3 linked regions of the Saccharomyces cerevisiae S288C genome follow. The gene in region 1 interacts genetically with each later gene. Each region holds a gene or a part of one and is shown on either strand. Other genes may lie near its edges.

Region 1 (3,686 bases):
TCATTTGCGCATATCCTCTGATGATTACATGGTCGTTTATTGTACACTCAAAGTTATTGTTCAATGCTTTCAAAGATTGGGCTTTGAATTTGTGGGCCATGAGAAAACTTAAATCTTGGGTCACAATGTTCAAAAGCGATTACAGGGCGCTCGACGATTATGATGACCCACATTCTAATGCCATGAAAAACTATAAAGAAGTTCCAGATTGGTGGTATTTTGCCATATTGATAGGTTCACTTGTTGTTGGAATAGCTGTTGTAGAGCACTACCCAACAAATACACCAGTTTGGGGTCTTTTTGTTTGTTTAGGATTTAATTTTGTTTTCTTGATTCCAACTACTATCCTTCAAGCAACCACTGGTTATTCGTTTGGTTTGAATCTACTAATTGAAATGGTGATGGGGTACGCTTTACCAGGTAATCCAATCGCCATAATGATTTTGAAGGCTTTTGGTTATAACATCGACGGCCAAGCAGATAATTACGTTTCTAACTTAAAAATAGCGCATTATTGTAAGATTCCGCCAATGGCGCTATTCAGGGGACAATGTGTTATAGTTTTCATTCAGATATTTGTCAATCTAGGTGTTCTGAATTGGCAAATCTCCAATATCAAAGACTTTTGCACACCTCATCAAAACGCAAAATTCACCTGTCCTGATGCTGTGACCTACTATAATGCTTCCGTTGTCTGGGGTGCAATTGGGCCAAAAAGAATTTTCAATTACATTTATCCAATATTTAAATGGTGTTGGTTGATAGGCGCATGCATTGGCATATTTTTTGGTGTTTGGAAGCGCTGGGGTAAGTTTTATCCCAGATATTTTGACCCAATGTTATTTGTAGGTGGAATGCTTAATATGAGCCCTCCATATAACCTGATGTATTACACTTCTGGTATGATTGTTAGTTACATTTCCCAGTACTACATGAAAAGACACCATTTAAATCTGTGGGAGAAATATAATTATGTTTTATCGGCAGGCTTTTCAACGGGCTTGGTTTTATCAGCTATTATCATTTTCTTTGCTGTCCAATATAAAGACACAGCTTTTAATTGGTGGGGCAATACAGTTCCGTATGCTGGTGCCGATGGCGTTGGCTATCCTCTAAAGAACATAACTGATACAGCAAATGGCTATTTCGGCTATGCTCCAGGACACTATCCATGACTAGAACTTTTCTTAGAACGCTATCATTTCTTTATTTTTTTTTCTCCCCTGCACTTGTCTTTTCTATCAGTCACCTGCATGTATTTAGTTTTTATTCTTCTATCTATAGTACAGAGTTACTTTGATATGTAAAAAGCCATCATTTTGTCTTCATACCTGCCAAAACTATAACAGTACACTCTAGTTCAATATTTTTGACACTTTTCATGCTTCTCGCCTTTTCTCTGTGTATGCGGATGTTATCAATAAAGAAAAATGCTTTGATACCAGAATAGGAACTACATTTTTTTTTGGCTCATCGACGAAGTGATAAGGAGCCTGGCAATTGAAAATCAATCAAGAATATTTTTTGCTTCCAACTACAAGTAATGATGGTGTTTATTTTGCATGAATTTTGGTATTATTGCAGAAATACAAGTGGTAAATAGTTTTGTAAACGTATATTTCAAGTTGGAATGAGATGCGTTGCACTACTGGATAATTACTCCGGTTGAAGCATATTCAAATACAGTATCACCGTTTTTTGGGATGATTCAGGGTTAAGCCAGCCGAGTATTGAGAGAGATTGACAACATAGCATGCGGCTGATGTCAGATTTCGAACATTTGAAATTTTCTTGCCTTTATAAGACGTTTGCGAAATACAAGTTACAGGCCGACTACACAATGTATTTATTTCTATTTAATTTCTGCATTGGGTTAGCCTTTTAACGTCATAGTTCATTGTACTTCTCAGTCACTTCTTGATTTGCTTTTATTGGTTGAACATTTTTATGGACGGAACTAACGGGTGGCAAGAACTACCAATTATATTAGGGGAGCGGCAATCATTAAGAGAGGGAACGCTATAAATAGAGCAAAAAGGGCTAAGTATTGCTCTTAGTATTTTATATGCCAAGAAAGCAAACAGCCCTTTCTGTGTAGCATGTCCAACACTAGCGAAGATAACATTACCGTAAGGTTTGTAACCGAAAACGATAAGGAGGGTTGGCAAAGGCTTTGGAAATCCTATCAAGATTTTTATGAAGTCTCTTTTCCCGATGACTTGGACGATTTCAATTTCGGCAGATTCCTAGATCCTAACATTAAAATGTGGGCAGCCGTAGCTGTGGAAAGTTCGAGCGAAAAAATTATTGGAATGATAAACTTTTTCAACCATATGACTACTTGGGATTTCAAGGACAAGATATACATCAACGATCTCTATGTTGATGAGAATTCTAGGGTCAAAGGCGCGGGCGGCAAACTAATCCAATTTGTCTACGACGAAGCTGATAAACTGGGCACACCAAGCGTGTATTGGTGTACGGATGAGTCAAACCATAGAGCTCAGCTGCTATACGTCAAGGTCGGCTATAAAGCCCCAAAAATATTATACAAGAGGAAGGGATATTAAAAACACTAATTACCTCAGTAGTATGGATGTATAGAAAAAAAAAAATTAAAAACAATTAATCTTACTAGTTTTTGCCGAGTATTATAACATTAAGTGCTAGTGAGCGAGAAATAAAGAAAAGGAGGGAAAAATTAGACTTCAGCCACAGCAGAGGAACTGCTGGTTTCACCTTTTTTTTGAGCTTTTTCCTTGGTGCTGGCAGCCTTTTCAGCGGTAACGTAGGTTGTGTAGTCTAAGATTTGCAATAATTGCCATACAGACCATGCTAAAATGGATCCTAACAGCGTGCCAATCCAATAAATCCAGTGGTAATGAGGGAAGTATCTGGCTGCGACAGCAGCACCCAAGGACCTCGCAGGGTTGACACCTGTGCCTGTGTATGCAGTCAAAGCGACGTGTGCGATAAACAGGGAGATGCCGATGGGCAGCGCAGCCATAAAGTTGGTTTCACGCTTCTCCACAGCCGTCATTAAGACTGTTAAACATAGGATAGCGGTGCCGAACATCTCCAGGAACAGACCCCTCGTCCTAGAGCAGCCCAGGCCCAAAGAATTGGCAAAGAGGACTTCACCAGGTGTCATGGCGCTTGCAGCGCCTCCAGCGGCCATTCCAGCAACAATCTGCGAAACCCACATAACGACACATCTTGTAGGAGAGACGGCTCTCGCCAAGCACAGCGAAAGCGACATAGCAGGATTCAAAGCCCCACCAGAGACACCGGCAAAACACCAGATAGAAAACATGACGGAAAATCCGAAACCGATGGCAATCATAATCAATTGACCCGGATGGGAACCGTCAGGCGCTGCAACGAGTGCGACATCATGGTTAGCGACATTGCAGATAACGTAAGCGCACCATAAAAACATGAATGTGCCGCAGAACTCACCGACCGCAGCGATAAAGTGGTCTCTCAGGGTGTCCCTAGAGATTTTAAAGCGATGGTGCTTTGTTTCCGGCTGCTCCGGAGGGATGTAGGCGTCGTCCACACCGGTAGGATCCAGACGTGTATGTTGCTTGTCGGTATCGTTCGAATCGTTCGAAGACATGTTATAGTTAATTACATGTTACTTTATGTGCCGTATTGACAGACAGCACCAAATACAAAGAATAAAA
Region 2 (4,432 bases), on another chromosome or scaffold:
GGGTAACCTGTTTTTCGTTGTACACGATATGCTACAGAATTGTCTTAATATGGGCTAAGAAAAAAAAAAGTCTGATTATTTCTGATACTGCAAAATATATACTGGCTTGGTTAAGAAAAGTGTTGCTTTAGTTCCTTTACATCAAGAGTCGTTAAATTGTTTTGTGTCATAACAGTAGTGGTCTTTTGAGACATCAATCGACTCTCAGGTTTTCCTTCTGTTCATCTTCTTGTTTTCGGTAAAGGTCAGCCAGCATATTTCAATTCTCTCTTTTTTGAAATAACATTATGTAATCTTTCAATCCTTTCTATCCAACGTCTGCTAAATAATTTATTCAAATGACATGTAGACCAGAAAATCGAACGTTGGATAATTTTTCATCCTGAATCATGTTGGTCTCAACTAGAGCAATTTTTTCACGTCCTCTGACACAAAACTCGATAAACTGTCGCATCAGTTTAAAAAAATATGTACGTGTATAATAACTGAATTTAAAAGGATAGTAAATAATTTTTGCATTTTATGGAATGTCAAAATACTAATAAGTCGCAAATATAGCTATCAAATACCATAATTTAGCTACTTATAGAAAGATGCCCAAATCCCGACCAAAAAGGACCATTGCGTCTTCCTCGTCAGTTTTTTATGGAAGTTCACCTTTCCAAAATGATGGCTACATCAAAGTAATGGAACTCGTATCACACATTGTCATTGAAATAAATCATTCACCTACCGCAACAACGGATGAAACGAGAAAGCAGAATAATCCGGAGCTGAAAGTGAAAGAACCAGTTTGTAACCTCAAGAAGTGGGAAAATAACACTAACTTTATATTGGAAGATCATACGAAGAATAAAACAAAACTTTCTAGCACAGATAGGATACGTAAGTGGTTTAGAAGACATATATTAAAGGAAGAGATCGAAATCCTTTCCCATGGAAAACAATTGAGTAGTATTGATGAGGATTATTGCCCTTCAAATGTTCTTGTAGGATGTTCAAGAGATCTAAATAAACTCAGATCATTTCAAAATTTTTAGGAATATAAAATTTCTCAGTAAGAAAAAGAAGATGAATGCGTTTATAGTATTTTAAGTTGTTCAATAGAATATCTTCAATATGTTCATATGTGGACTAAAAGAAGATTTTGGTATATGTCTATAAATTTATTGTTGGTAAACGCCATTAAGCAGCTTTCCAAGAATATGTTATCATTGAGGAGAAGTACGAAAACTGATTATGCACGATTAGGAAAAATTCTGCAAGGAGTATTAAAAAATGGCCTTCGAGAAGAAATGAAATCTCTTTCGATGAGCAATGGTCTTATGGATAATTTGATAGACATATGAAAAAGTCAAAAGTTTTTTTGGCCATATGCAGTAAAAACTTACCCTTCAAATTGCAAAACCATTAGTTTTATTATATTTTTTTTTTTTTCTTTCATTGAAGTATACACGAAATCCCATACGCAAATAAACAGTCGTTGTATCATCAATTTCGGCTGTCTGGATGGCGACTACGAGAGGAAGCTTGCTTGCCATGATAGGACCAATCTCAATTTTTAATTTTTCATTAACTAGCTAATTTTCTATAATGCTCTAAGTTTCCTTTTTCGTTTTGTTTCTTTATAGTGATGATGCTGTTATTGTGACGCTATCAAATCATATACTGTCATCAATCCTCATCTCATCGGCTCCGGAACGCGTTGAATATGTTGTTAAACAAGCTCTTTATAGCTAGCTATAGTAGAAAAGGAAGGAAAGAAGTCTAATCGCTGTATTATCGACTGACAAGGGTTGTCAGTTGCCTTCTTTTATTTTTTGTACTCCCCTGAATCGAGCGGATGTATTTTTTAACAAAGTATTCAGAATTGTTTTTGTATAATCAAAATTTGTCGACGCTAAGAAAATGACGGACGTCGTAATTCCGCTACTAGGTTTTGTGTGCTCATCGATATTTGACACCTATTTTCGACACTTTTAAGGTTATATACTTTGTTTCGGATGTGGGGTACACTCAGTTGACTGATTATGAAAGATATGGCGTAGCCGTTGGGTTAGGGTTATTACACAGAAATGAATTATACCAGTGAAATTATTCTCTTTATGTTTGTTCCTACATGTTTTCCAATCAGAAGGAATTGTTATATAAGGACACAAGAAATGTGTTGGTACGCTCTGCGCCTCAATGACGGTTTATCTATCTAAAACTATTTCTTTCTCGTAATAAAAATACAATAAATAATTAATAATAATATAGTTGATCGATATAACAAAAAAATAACAGCGAGGATGGTTAGTTCAAGTGTTTCCATTTTGGGGACTAGCGCCAAGGCATCCACTTCTCTAAGTAGAAAGGATGAAATTAAACTAACCCCTGAAACAAGGGAAGCTAGCTTGGACATTCCATACAAACCCATTATTGCATACTGGACGGTGATGGGTCTCTGTCTGATGATTGCCTTTGGTGGATTCATTTTTGGTTGGGATACAGGAACCATTTCAGGGTTTATTAACCAAACAGATTTCAAGAGAAGGTTTGGTGAGTTACAAAGGGACGGCAGTTTTCAACTATCAGATGTCAGGACAGGGCTAATTGTCGGTATCTTCAACATAGGTTGTGCTTTAGGTGGCCTAACGCTGGGACGCCTGGGCGATATTTATGGGCGTAAAATCGGCTTAATGTGTGTTATACTGGTGTATGTTGTTGGTATCGTGATCCAGATTGCTTCCTCTGACAAATGGTATCAATATTTTATTGGTAGAATTGTTTCTGGAATGGGTGTTGGAGGTGTTGCTGTGCTGTCGCCAACTTTGATCTCAGAAATTTCCCCAAAGCACCTAAGAGGCACTTGTGTCTCTTTTTACCAGCTAATGATTACCCTTGGAATTTTCTTGGGCTACTGTACCAATTATGGTACAAAGAAATATTCAAATTCAATACAGTGGCGGGTTCCCTTGGGTTTGTGTTTTGCGTGGGCAATCTTTATGGTGATTGGAATGGTTATGGTTCCGGAATCGCCCAGATATTTAGTAGAAAAAGGTAAGTATGAAGAAGCTAGAAGGTCTTTGGCCAAATCAAACAAGGTCACAGTTACTGATCCAGGCGTTGTTTTTGAGTTTGATACTATAGTTGCAAATATGGAATTAGAAAGGGCTGTTGGAAATGCCAGTTGGCACGAACTCTTCTCAAATAAAGGAGCAATTCTACCAAGGGTAATAATGGGAATCGTTATCCAGTCACTGCAACAGCTTACTGGCTGTAATTATTTTTTCTACTACGGCACGACCATTTTCAATGCTGTTGGAATGCAAGACTCTTTCGAGACTTCCATTGTCCTTGGGGCTGTTAATTTTGCTTCTACATTTGTTGCACTATACATTGTGGATAAATTTGGGCGTCGAAAATGTTTATTGTGGGGGTCTGCCTCGATGGCAATTTGTTTCGTCATATTCGCCACCGTTGGCGTCACTAGATTATGGCCACAAGGGAAAGACCAACCTTCTTCGCAAAGTGCTGGTAATGTTATGATCGTTTTTACTTGTTTCTTCATTTTCTCTTTTGCCATTACTTGGGCTCCTATCGCCTATGTCATTGTGGCAGAAACTTATCCATTAAGAGTTAAAAATCGTGCCATGGCCATTGCGGTTGGTGCGAACTGGATGTGGGGTTTCTTGATTGGATTTTTCACACCCTTTATCACTAGATCCATAGGATTTTCTTATGGCTATGTTTTCATGGGTTGCTTAATCTTTTCGTACTTCTACGTTTTCTTCTTTGTTTGCGAAACAAAGGGATTAACTCTGGAGGAAGTTAATGAAATGTACGAAGAAAGAATAAAGCCATGGAAGTCCGGAGGTTGGATTCCCAGTTCTAGAAGAACACCACAACCAACAAGCAGTACACCATTAGTTATTGTTGATAGTAAATAATTTCTAAATATTCTTGTACTCTGGTAAACAGAAATAACAACAGATAATGGATTGATGCTTTACTTCTATTTCATGGAGATTGGTTTTATATAATAGCCTTTATTAATGGCGTCACAAATTGAAAAAAAAATTAAAAAAAATAAGACGGACACATTTGCGACGCCGGTGAATAAATGCATATAAGTAGTTTATAAGCTAGCTACTACTCAGAAATAATTTCAAAAAAAAAAAGAAGTGGGCACTTTAAAATGAAGATTAGCTATAGTAAATTACTGTAGTATAACAACTACCTGCTATCTTTCTGAAAAAATCAGGCAATGTAAGGTCAAACTTGTACCATCGACATATATAATGTTTTGAGATATAAGTAACTAGAGACCAGTTTATACAGGATCTTACCTCTTTTTACCGTTATGAAAGCTTTATTACTGCGTTGTTAGTAAACACACATATTATTTTCGGGTAGTCCTGTCGATGTTCCAAGGCTTTGCATTTATCAT
Region 3 (3,269 bases), on another chromosome or scaffold:
AATCATCAAATACTTCGATGAAATCGCATACCTCAAAAAAGGGTCCCTCGGGCTTATATTTATTGAATGGCAATAATAATATTTATCCTACAGCTGAGACTCCAAGATTCCGGAAGCATACAGAACCCTTACAATTGCCATTAAATAGTTCCTTTTTAGACTATTCACGTGAATATTTTCAAGAACCACAAATGAAAAAGCAAGAGGCGGATGAACCTGGCAGTGTTGAGTATAATGCTAGATTGTGGAGACGTAACAGAAATGAAACTATTATCCAGGAAACACAGGGGGAGAAAAAATTATCGATTTATGGGAATTGGTCCAAAAAATTGATTAGTTTAAATAACAAAAGTCAACCAAAACTGATGAAGTTTGCCCAGTTTGAAGATCAGCTGATTACTGCAGATGATAGAAGTACCATTACAGTTTTTGATTGGGAGAAAGGAAAGACTTTGTCCAAATTCTCCAATGGTACTCCTTTTGGCACAAAAGTTACTGACCTGAAACTCATTAACGAGGATGACTCCGCCCTTTTATTGACAGGTTCTTCAGACGGTGTTATCAAAATATACAGAGACTACCAAGATGTCGACACCTTTAAAATTGTATCCGCCTGGAGAGGCTTGACCGATATGTTATTGACACCTAGATCCACAGGTTTACTAACCGAATGGTTACAAATAAGAGGATCATTGTTAACAACTGGTGATGTTAAGGTTATCCGTGTCTGGGATGCGCATACAGAAACGGTTGAAGTGGACATTCCTGCAAAAACATCATCTTTAATTACATCCTTGACGGCTGATCAGCTAGCAGGTAATATCTTCGTAGCAGGGTTTGCAGATGGCTCCCTGAGAGTATATGATCGCCGTCTCGATCCAAGAGATTCCATGATACGTCGCTGGAGAGCTGGAAATGATAAGCAGGGAGTTTGGATTAACAATGTTCATTTACAAAGAGGTGGTTACAGAGAATTGGTCAGTGGAGCTACCAATGGTGTTGTAGAGTTATGGGATATAAGGTCCGAAGATCCGGTAGAATCGTTTGTTGATCAAAACGTAACTTCTCAGTACGGTTCGCAACAAAAACCAACGACAATGACGTGCATGCAGGTTCATGAGCATGCTCCGATAATTGCGACAGGGACTAAACAAATAAAGATATGGACGACATCTGGAGATCTTTTGAATTCTTTTAAAAACTCACATAATAATGGCGTAACAAGTACATTAGCCGCTACGGGAATCCCAAAGTCACTGTCCTACTCTTCCACTTCTGATGCATTTTTATCTTCGATGGCTTTCCATCCTCATAGAATGATGATTGCGGCCACCAATTCTCACGATTCTATTGTAAATATCTACAAGTGTGAAGACGAGAGAATTGATTATTTTTGATATGTGCCATTTCTTTTTTTTTCTTTCATTTAGCTGCAAAAGAGATATATATATATATATATATATAATCTATTATATAATAAAAGTCGAGTAAAAAATTGGTCTGATTGTGAATTTAACAGCTGGTCGCAAGTTCTGGAATTTGTTGTTAATTATTGTTTCATGTTCGTATAATAATACGATGTTTAGTAAAGCAGAAAGTTCAGAATATTAAAAGTCTGTTCCAATAGTGTAGCGGCTATCACGTTGCCTTCACACGGCAAAGGTCCCGAGTTCGATCCTCGGTTGGAACATTTTAACATCGATTTTTTTGTTTGTCATAGCCAGACCAATTACGACGTTTAGAGGCATGCACTTTGTTAAATATTTTTTCTCTCTCCTTCGACATATTTTTTTTCCTGTTTACGTAACATTCATCCCCAGTCTTTGTATCATTTTTTTTTTTTTTTGGTGATGCGACAGCAATTCTGGCCGACACAGTCGTTTTCAAAGAAAAACTACCACAAACTATGGAACATAATTGAAAACAAAAACATTTACTTATAACCTACATAATGATTGAAGATACTTCATTGATCTTTACCACCTTCCTCGTTGAAATCTTTTCTACCATAGTCAGTATTTTTGGGAATTTTATAAAAACGCAAATTTTATCGAAATGAATCAAGGTTACACACAGCTTTCCGCACCGGAACTGAAGGAGACTAAAACATCGAAGCTAAATAAAATGAACAACTTTCGAAGCTCTCCGATTGCTGAGATAATTAATAAGATACCACCAGATTGCGGGAAGATACAGAATACAACATTTCCTGAGTTCAATCCAGCGTTAAGAAGACGACAACACGAACAGTGGCCTGCATACGAAAAACCAATAAGAGTTACTGACAGTATGTCACCACAGCTTTCTTCAATCAATTGTTTGCCAAATTTGTATCCCCACGGTACGCTACCATTACCAAACCCTTATTTATCCTATTTAAATCACATTGAAAAAGTTAATTGCCAAGATGTCAAGTTTAGTAACTGGAGTGTTTTACATAATTCGAATAATGGATTTGAAATTCCGACATATTTCAGTCCACGGACAACACAAAACATGCCTTGTTCCGAAAAAGTTGAAAGCTGGCTTGAAAGATTACCAATTTTTGTGGGGTTCGACGGTTATTTATTTACAAACTGCTTTGATTATGAATATATGTTGGATTGGGAAGAGACAGAATTTACATTCGAGAAAACATCATGTATGGAGACGGATTATTCTAAAGCTTTAACCGATACTGATATTATATATATTCAAGAGAAAAAAATTGAAGCGTTGATAAGAAACCAATATCTGAAGGAGTATGAATTTTCTCAAAAAGATTTTTGAATTTTGAAGAAAGCCATTAATATTTAAATGTAATTTTGTGTAGAATTATAATAAATTGATGTTTATGTATAGATCTCTCGAAATATATTTAAGAATATATAAATAATAAATGTACAACAATAAGCATAGAACATGGAATGAGTGTTCAAACTATATTCGTTTGTTTTTTAGATAGGAGTTCTCCAGACGTTTTCATCCAAGTTTTGTTTTGCATCATTTAAAGCTGCAGCAAGAACTTTGCTTTCTTCACTTGCAGACTCCGGTTTGACTTGAGTTTTTTTAATGGAAAGATTCCTCAAACTAGCGGCATTGACATTTACATTTCTTTTCGTGCTTCTTAAAATCAAGGAATCATTTGATTCGAGATTCTCCTTCTTTATTTCAGGTTGCGATATCGATGGAACTTCTGCAGTTGAAGAGCTGATATTTTTTGCCTCTTTCTCTTCTTTTTCCTGAGCGAGAAGTTCAACTAATTGATCGGGCTCAAGTTCTTTCGCAGA

The links.
Region 2: mutations in HPA2 (region 1) and HXT10 together harm fitness more than expected from each alone (negative genetic interaction), as found in Saccharomyces cerevisiae (2 studies listed by BioGRID).
Region 3: mutations in HPA2 (region 1) and PFS1 together harm fitness more than expected from each alone (negative genetic interaction), as found in Saccharomyces cerevisiae (2 studies listed by BioGRID).

Annotation. Positions count from the first base shown.
Region 1 is NC_001148.4:921,793-925,478, reverse strand, and holds HPA2 (histone acetyltransferase), read left to right. Parts: upstream 1-2,099; coding exon 2,100-2,570; downstream 2,571-3,686. Other genes in the region: OPT2 (Opt2p), read left to right, coding at 1-1,175; AQY1 (Aqy1p), read right to left, coding at 2,702-3,619. UniProt on the Saccharomyces cerevisiae protein: N-acetyltransferase that acetylates histone H3 at 'Lys-14' and histone H4 at 'Lys-5' and 'Lys-12'. Also acetylates polyamines like putrescine, spermidine and spermine, and certain other small basic proteins like nuclear HMG proteins.
Region 2 is NC_001138.5:110,054-114,485, forward strand, and holds HXT10 (hexose transporter HXT10), read left to right. Parts: upstream 1-2,291; coding exon 2,292-3,932; downstream 3,933-4,432. Other genes in the region: YFL012W (uncharacterized protein), read left to right, coding at 594-1,040. UniProt on the Saccharomyces cerevisiae protein: Probable glucose transporter.
Region 3 is NC_001140.6:474,127-477,395, reverse strand, and holds PFS1 (Pfs1p), read left to right. Parts: upstream 1-2,055; coding exon 2,056-2,769; downstream 2,770-3,269. Other genes in the region: ubiquitin-binding TORC1 subunit KOG1, read left to right, coding at 1-1,397; SSP1 (Ssp1p), read right to left, coding at 2,937-3,269. UniProt on the Saccharomyces cerevisiae protein: Involved in the pathway that organizes the shaping and sizing of the prospore membrane (PSM) during sporulation. Required to localize MPC54 to all four spindle pole bodies, and localize DON1 and SPO14 to four prospore membranes.